Linked DNA regions of Oryzias latipes. Each later gene encodes a partner of the first gene's protein in a complex. Links are inferred from orthologs where the notes say so. Each region holds a gene or a part of one and is shown in the gene's direction. Other genes may lie near its edges.

Region 1 (4,267 bases):
AAGTTCACGATAATTAATGATTAGAAGCGAATAAATAATATTCTAAAATAGCAGTGTCACATTTTAATCAGTAACAAATCTGCAAATTAAACAAAAATTTGTGACGCACTGTGTCTAACCGCTACATTTTTGCACTGAACAAACAGCGGATTGTCTCACAAAACCTCCTGTTCTTTTGTTGCTACTGACTATATCTGAGAACTGGGGCAAGTGGGTGTGGCGTCACCTGTAGAAAAAGGTTCCAACAAAATGTAGTCAGTTCAGACGCCATGTTTTAACGATATTGACGCCTCCATTTTGGAGGAAGATGTCGTCAGTAAGCAGTGATTGGTCGGAGTCCATATGAGTCATCATTTCAATGGTAACCACTCTTGCCAAACAGGAAGGAGGCTGTTGGAAGGCCACTAAATCTGTCAAATGTTTTGAATTTGGGGGCCGGCAGACTCCACCTAATTTTTTCGAGGCGTCTTATTGATCAGATTTATAACTGGAATAACTTGAACCAAAACAAAAATCTTGAAGAGGAAAAAAGAGGATTATCAAGAACATGTTAAAAAGGAATCAGAGCAAGCATGGTTCTTCTGACCAATAGAATGGCTGAGTAACAGACTCTATAGAAGTCTGTGGGATTTTAGATTCTTGGAGCCAGCAGGTACTTCCTGTTTGGAACACCAGGGGGAGGAGTCACTAAGTCCAGTTTTCTTATACAGTCAATGGTCCAGAAATGTTTAGATGTCCTGAAGAAGACTTAGTGTGGTCATCAAAATCAAATTGAAGTAATTCTAGATGGAAATGCAGGATGTGATGGTGTTGGCACTTCCTTAAAGCACGTCATAATCTAGAATTGATTTAAATAAAACAAAAAACACCAATGTAACATCTTCAATTGTTGCCATCTGTTCTTGACGGTCAACAAAATGAATCATTCCACAGTTGCTAGAGGGAAATTTCTCAGTGAATCTTGAGACACAAGCATCTTATGTGCGCCCAATCAATGCGGGCTCATGACGGCGCTGATAGGCAAAAGCTCTGGATTCCCACAGGGCCTCCAGTGGCCACAAAGCTTTAATTGAGGAGACTAGATTCTGCTCCCTTTCTCATCTTCACCTTCGCCTGCCTAAGAATATTGCTGTTTGCATATTAATACATGCCAGTCACTCAGTCTGAGGAAAGATGGCTTGGAAACAGGCAGTGTGTGTGTATGTAGGTGACAGCCAAATGTTTTATTTTATTTTTTCCCTCCTACCAATAAAATGTTTAATAATTGACTCTCAGCTGCAGCTTCCTCCTCTTCGTTTTTTCCTCATCAATCCAGTGTTTTATACTGAGTAAAACACTCTTTAAGTGATTGAATTCTTTCACTTACGGGATTGTAGAAAACTTAAAAATGTAAGTGCAGCCGTTTTTATTTCTAATTATCAACTCACCACTTAGAGGACTGGATGCGTGTGTGTGTGTGTGTGTGTGTGTGTGTGTGTTGTAGGCAGAGTGCTAAATTGGCATCGTGTTTACCGAAATTGCAATTATCGTCCAACTTGAAACGAGGATTGAGTCTGTTAAACGGCGCTTTATTTCTCATGAGTCCCTATAATTCTGCTTTGTTTAAGAGACGAGGTGTTTGTTCAATTTGCTTGGAAAAATTGCCCCAAAACCTCACAACCTTTTTTCTTTATTAGTTTGTTAGCTCATATTTTTAAGTGAGAGGGGGAGAAAAAAAAGTTTTTTTTTTGTTTTTTTTTTGCAGCTTGTGGCCGGCAGTGTTGTGGTGGCCTTCGAGGAGGTCTGCCCCGATCGCATCGATCTGATTCACAAGAACTACAGGAAGCTGTGCAACCTGCTGGTGGATGTGGAGGAGTGGGGTCAGGTGGTCATCATCTCCATGCTGACGCGCTACGCCAGAACGCAGTTCACCAGCCCCTGGAAGGAGGTGAGGCCCAGATGTACCAGCAGATGTGCCTTATGTTGCTGTATCGTGGTTCATCTATTGCGTTCTTGCTGTTGTGCAACATTTCTTCAATGGAATTATGCTTACAATTTTTTAATACATTGTGTTCTGTATCCTGATTTGTTGTAGGCCATTCTCAATCCATCTCCTCTGTGTATAGAATTTACCAAATTTACATAAATCTTATCTTGGTCAGACACTTATTTTCATTTTAAAACACTTATTTTTCTATGAACTTTCAGAGTTTAACCAAGAGAAAAGTGTGCAAATGTGGATTTCTGTCTGAGAAAAGCGTTGAGTGAGGTATTTTACAGCCTTAACACATCTATAACCATTGTAAAAATAAAAAAAAAGACCTTTTTTTTTTAGAACTGAATTCTCACGATAAAAGAGGGAACACCACCTTCAAAAATCTTTAAAACCCTGCAAAACTTTCAGAGTGGCATCATCATAGCTTAAAGAATATGCATATGTTGTTATTTTTTTTACTGTTTTGATGACAATAATAAACTTGTGAGGGCAGATTGAGAAACTTGTCGTGGTAAAACAAATAGTTTATTAAATTATAAAATAACCTCCAGCAGAATAGAGTTAAAGTGTTCCCTCGTTTATCACAGGAGTTACGTTGGGGTTAGATATTTTAAGGATGTTAAACCCCTCCTTTCACACTTTACTCTCTTGTTTGAACCCTCAAAGTTCACCCTTTTAGATTTATTATACATCCACACCTGACCAGCAACTTGTTGCTTGATAATTTATGATGCTTCATGATTCCCCCGCCTCCCTCCCCTATAATCATCCTTCTGCCCCCCCCCCTCCAACAATAATCAATAGAAATATAGTTTAGCCTAAATTACAAAAGGGGGTTTATTCAGATATACACCACATGTGTCAGAAGATCTACAACCCAGTTTTCAAAGAAAACAAACACTTAAATTTCATAGAAAGGACAGACAATTTGGCGGACAGTAAAATGATGAATTTATAAAAGAAACATGGAAAATTCCACCGAAAAAATGACTAAAACAAAAGGTGAACCGCGATACAGCGAGGGAACCCTGTACATCCTACAAGTGATAACAGCAATGTGGACTCATCTTCCAGCTTTGGATGTTTCCTTTCATATCAGCTAGGATCTGTGTTTCTAATTGAAAAATGTGGTTTTTGCACAAATTTATAAACTTTCAAAAGCAAAAAGAGAAAAAATAATTTGGGCTGTAATGCTGTTTTGTGAATCCAATAAACACAATCTGTGATTTCAAGGCCAAAAAAGAAATTCCAAACAAATAATATTTCTAAATGGCAGGAACTCTTTTAACGTCACAAAAAAATGTAGAGATCCTCAGAATGTTGGTCTGGACCAGTGCATCCTGATTTGTCTTTCAGGATGCCGTGTTTGATGAGAACAACGAGAAAACCTTCTATGACTCGGACTCGGAGGAGAAAAAGGGTCCGACCGAAGCCAAACCGTACATGATGGATCCAGACCACAGACTCCTGCTGAGGAACACCAAACCTCTGCTGCAGAGCCGGAACACCGCGGTGAGCCCATGAGAACTCCCTTTTCTGTTGAGAACGCGCCTCTGCTCGCTATCATGTACGAAAAAGCGCAGCGACCTTGGGAGAAATATGTACTTTGAACGTTTGTAACGTTGTGTTAGAAACATTCAGCTCATCTGTTTAAAGCCAAGACAGTTTGACCATATTGAGTTTAGTCGGTTTGCATGTCGTTTACTTGCTGGACTATAGGTTTCACTTGAACTTTAAATCTCATAAATTTACAAGAAAGTCATACATTTATGATATTTAAGTTGTAAATTTAAATCTCATTATATTACCTTTATTTTATTTTATTTTGTTTTTGTTTGTGGCCCCTAATACGATGTCATAGCCTTTTGTATTTTCAGCCTTTGTTTCTTTCCCTCTTTGCTTTTAGTTCTTAATTTCCAGTTTCAATTCAGACTTTTTGACTGACTTTGGGCGACAGAGGTTATGGTGATGTCATTTCCGCTCCAAAACCGCTTCTTTCTGCAAATTCTAAGTAGAAAGTTAGTAGAATGTTCTGTCCTTGTATTCTCTATTGCAAAATGAATTAAGTTATACAGTTGTTAGAAGTCTTTGTTTTCCCTTTCCTTTATTTTTTTTATACTTGAAGAATTACCCCAAAGAATTGTTATAGTGCTTAAAGAAAATAAGCAGAAAAGGACACTTTTCATGGCCTTTTCCAGTTCTGAGTGCAAACTGTCTAAACTTGCCTGATTCTATGTGTAAATGTTAATAGACCAGCTCAGTGGCCTTGTGGTAGAGTGTCCGCCCTGTGAC
Region 2 (4,367 bases), on another chromosome or scaffold:
GCAGAACGGTGATGCAGGGAAACAGGAGCAGAAAACGGCCATAGCAGCATGGAGCTGAGAGCAGAATGGCTGGGCAGGTTAGCTGGAAGCGCGGCTGAGTGGCGAGCAGACAGGTAGGCGAGCAGGCAGAGGACAGAGCAGGTGAGTTGACTGAATGCTTGCAGTGCAACGATCCAGCAGAGAGTGAGGGGCAGAAGCAGTGATACCTAAAAGAAAAAAAATACTCATCACTCACCTTCAGCAAGCCAAATAACCAGCTGTTACTTTTGCTCATGGCGGACCACCTCTGGTGGGATATTTATGGTGGTCTTCTAGTTGTCAAGTCTTTCCCACATTGAACCAAACTGAACCCATTTAAAGACATTTGGGGAACCTGTACTGGTGTTTTGAGTTCAGTAGATGATGGTGAAACTGTAAGAAATATTCAGAATTTGAGCAGATTTCTCCACTCGATCAGGATTTTGCGAAATCCTGTTTTCTAGGGTTTTATGAGCTGGAACCTCAATTTATGTAAAAAAAACAACAACTTAACAATTAAACCTGGACCCTGAATCTATACTCTATGAAAGCTTAGTTCTAAAATGGAATTATAAAAAAATGAAAACACTTTTCCATGTATTTTATTAAGTGTCTGTACATTGCCACACAAGTGAGCTCATATAAATGATGGTTTAGGTTTTTGGTGTCTCTGGAACCTAATGTGAACCTGAGAATGTAGGAAAAAACAAAAAAAACGTTAATAAATAAAAGCAAACCAACACTGACATGTATAAAAAAGACAAAAAGAGTCAAACAAAGAACAATGGATCCAAGTAGAAAAGACACCAAAGGAAATTCAACCCAAGAAAGACACTGAACACAATGAAAACCCGCCTGTTGTTCAACCTAACAACAAGGAAGAGAGGACAATATCCTTTATTTGTCATGATCATTGTACGCCTTTCTCGTGCACTCTGCTGGAGAGTGCCGCATGTTCGATCCCTCCCTCAGCTGTCAGCGGCTGAACCGTCCTCCTGTCACGTTGACGGCGGTGGAACTTGAAGAACTTGAGTTAACTTCCTCGACATTTTGTGCATCGTCGACGCACAGACGATCTTTCTGCTGATTGGACGGAGAGCTGGGCGGGGGCGGGGACATTTGGTACACCGTACGCGCTGTGATTGGCTGAGGCTTGATAGTGGGCCGTGCCCGACGCCGGTGTCTCCCTGGTTGCGCAAGACGCCATTTTGGAGTGACAGTGAAAGATAACCTAAAGACCAGCAAGCTGTCTTTTTAAAGGTAAAAACCACCAGAACCAATTACTTTTTTTACTCTGTATGCCGTTTTATGAGAGTGAGTTCAAACTCGACCTAAATGATCAAATTTTGGTGTGGTTTTGCGTGACGTCATGCTGTTCTCTATGTAATGTGACGCGGCATCGAGCTAACGGCGGCTAGCTAGCTAGCTACGGTGGTTTCTGGATCGACTGACAAGAAAAAAACGAGTAAAAGATACTCACTTTACACGACACATATTACACCAACGGGCTTATTTATACGTCAACCTTTAACTTCGTGGATACGTACCGCCTGTTCGTTGTTGACAGAATGATTTCGCACGGACCAAACCCAGTCTTTAGCCGTTAGCAGCAGGCTAGGCTCAAGTCGAAGCATCCGCCCTATAGTCAAGCTAACCATCAGTTGGTAATGGGTGGTGACAGCACAAACTTTCTGATTTCCTTTAAAACAAACTGTTACATTTGATATATGACTGCTGCCCGTAAAAGGAAAATACTGCTATTTTATTTTTTACTATTCTTCAGTCGTTTACTGACTGACAAGGCCCCAGTCATCTGTTAGCTGTGCGGTTAGCCGGCTGTCCGAAGTATTCGTCCGTCCAGTTTGCTGCGGACTCCATTAAAACACGCAATTTATGGTCCTGGAGCTCGCACGTCAAGTCGAGATAGAAGTTAGGGGAAATATTTAGTTTGTTGATGCTGGCCACATTGAGTTTCGATCCTAATAGCCGAAAAACTTTGATAAATGACATTTTCACTAAAAATCCCAATGAAAACACATCTGATGTGTTTATGTAGACCTTCACAACTCCCACGTTAAGGAAAGCAGTTATGCACATCAGTCTGGAGATTTACCTTAAACCGTGAATGCCTCCCAAATTATATTTAGGGTCATCGATGCTCTGGTACTGTCATTGATTACCTACAGATGACTAGGACTCTAGGTCAAACTATATGTCTGAATAGTTATTTTGATGGTGCAGATGTAAAACAGTTTAGCCAAAGTGAACATTTAACTCTATATCTCTAAATTTCTGTTATTGAGTCTAAAACACGACAGCGTTGCTTCAATCCTACTATTATTGTCTGTTATGATGTTCATTTATGTGTTGGTTTTCTTCTACTATTTCTGTACGAGTACTAAAATGTTGTAGTTATTTACTTTTGTTGTTTTCCAGCTCTGTCATTATGGGGAATGTATTTGCAAGCTTATTCAAGGGCCTTTTTGGCAAAAAAGAGATGAGAATTCTAATGGTTGGGCTGGATGCTGCTGGAAAAACGACTATCCTTTATAAACTAAAGCTTGGAGAGATCGTCACCACCATCCCCACCATCGGTAGGATTTCTGTTTGCAATGGATCGTTTTTCATGTCAAAACGCTGCATGGATCTGTTCATCCTGAAACTGTCTTAGTGAGAGAGATATTGTTAAACCCAAAAAGCAAAATGTTATATTAATGATATATAGGTTACGCCAAAATTGTTGTCGGGATTTTTTTTAAAAATTGCGTTGAACGAAGTCTGTTCTGATCTCAACAGAAACAGCAGTAACAGCAGTGGATTGCTAAAAACATTGCAATTTCATAACCTCTCTGTTTCTGCATACAATGCATTTTGCTGCAGTATTCTGTGCTTGAATAACACAAATCTTCTGGTTTCTCAATTAGTTTCTCCAAGCTGACACTGAACTCATCACTGTTTACCTGTATTTCATGGTTTTTGAGTTAACCATTGTGTGTCTAAGTCAATACTCCGGCTGTCTGGATAGAAAACATTTACACCGTCAGCCATCAGAGCTGACTTTCAGCTCGTTTCCACAAAATCTAAACATATTGTGGCCAAAGATTTTTACAAGGAGATGCATTTTGCTGCCTTTGATCCTAGTTATTCACGGCTGTTATTGTTGCTTCCTGGTGAATTCTTTCAGCTCGATCTGTGGATCGGCCCAGATCACATTCAGCTGGATGAGTTCAGATAAACGTATGAAAACGGAGACGTTTCAGCTCCACGTGGGCTTTTCTCTGCTTATTTGTAATATCTCTGTTCTGCACGTTTTGGTAGCTTTAGTGTTGATTTAAACGTTTAGTTAAAAATGTATTTTATCAGCCTTATCATCTGAGAACATTTTTAAAAGATTGAAAAAAATGACATTTAGAATGATTTAGTTTATGAATTTGTAATGAACAAAGATATTGACAATTAATGCTTTTAACAATGGAGATACTCTGTGGTAAACTTGAAATCCAATTAAAATGATAATTTATGACCTGTTTAATGTAACCTGGGGAGCCTTTCAGATCCGTGTCTGCCACTAAGCCTGTCCTCATTTGTGCAGGTTTTAACGTTGAAACGGTAGAATACAAGAACATCAGCTTCACGGTGTGGGATGTGGGCGGTCAGGACAAAATCAGGCCGCTGTGGCGCCACTACTTCCAGAACACTCAAGGTAAGGGCCGACTGTTGGAGCGCATTACTGCCTATAGGGGGCCTAACTTCTGCGCTGAAGATGATCTGAACGCTGCTGGACCGATGACTCATACTTTTGTTCAATTCTTCTAAGGGTTTATTGTTTGACTCCTCCTTTTTCCTGACATTAAAGTCGTCAGCAACTATTAGGGCTATTTGAGTTTTTCCTGCCTAGAAAATCAACAGTTGGTGTAACAGTTAGGTTTCAGAGACAAACCTCCACGTCTGGTTTTCCTCTCTATATTTCTCTGTCAGGGCTTTTCTTTTTTATTTTGTCAATTTTAATATAAAAACAAACGTTTTTAAGCTTTTGGGAACGACATCACCTTAAAAGTAGTCTATTTTCACCATGGCAACAAATCAGTGTTGTTGTTTTAGGCCCAAATCGTCACGCTTAGATCCTGGGATTAGACTATCTGAGTTAACGTAAGTCATTTGAAAACAGAAGAATACATGAAATATGATAACAGTGGTCACCTGGAAAAGGATCTCAGCCAATCAAGGCTTCGTTTATGTGTTGTGTGTGTGGACTGTGTATGTGCTTAGCTGTTGAAAATATCGCAGGTCTAGCATATATGGGACTAATTCTTGTCAACTGCAGTGAGCATCCAGAGAGGCTCTGGAAA

Evidence for each region. The genes of interacting proteins can lie anywhere in the genome.
Region 2: the proteins of ap3b1 (region 1) and ADP-ribosylation factor 1 are in contact, whole or in part, in a cryo-EM structure (PDB 9C5B), measured with the Homo sapiens proteins. The link is inferred for Oryzias latipes from reciprocal best matches to the Homo sapiens genes AP3B1 and ARF1. Residues at the interface, in NP_003655.3 of Homo sapiens: Glu52, Asn54, Pro81, Val84, Lys85, Val87, Ala88, Asp111, Leu112, Leu114, Leu115, Ile117, Ser118, Thr119, Gln121, Arg122; in NP_001019397.1 of Homo sapiens: Glu17, Arg19, Tyr35, Ile46, Pro47, Thr48, Ile49, Gly50, Phe51, Asn52, Val53, Glu54, Lys73, Ile74, Leu77, His80, Tyr81, Asn84.

Annotation. Positions count from the first base shown.
Region 1 is NC_019870.2:3,646,667-3,650,933, reverse strand, and holds part of ap3b1 (AP-3 complex subunit beta-1), read left to right. Parts: intron 1-1,744; coding exon 1,745-1,927; intron 1,928-3,331; coding exon 3,332-3,487; intron 3,488-4,267. UniProt on the Homo sapiens protein: Subunit of non-clathrin- and clathrin-associated adaptor protein complex 3 (AP-3) that plays a role in protein sorting in the late-Golgi/trans-Golgi network (TGN) and/or endosomes.
Region 2 is NC_019877.2:22,747,694-22,752,060, reverse strand, and holds the start of ADP-ribosylation factor 1, read left to right. Parts: upstream 1-1,146; 5' UTR 1,147-1,278; intron 1,279-2,454; 5' UTR 2,455-2,464; coding exon 2,465-2,612; intron 2,613-3,610; coding exon 3,611-3,721; intron 3,722-4,367. UniProt on the Homo sapiens protein: Small GTPase involved in protein trafficking between different compartments. Modulates vesicle budding and uncoating within the Golgi complex. In its GTP-bound form, triggers the recruitment of coatomer proteins to the Golgi membrane.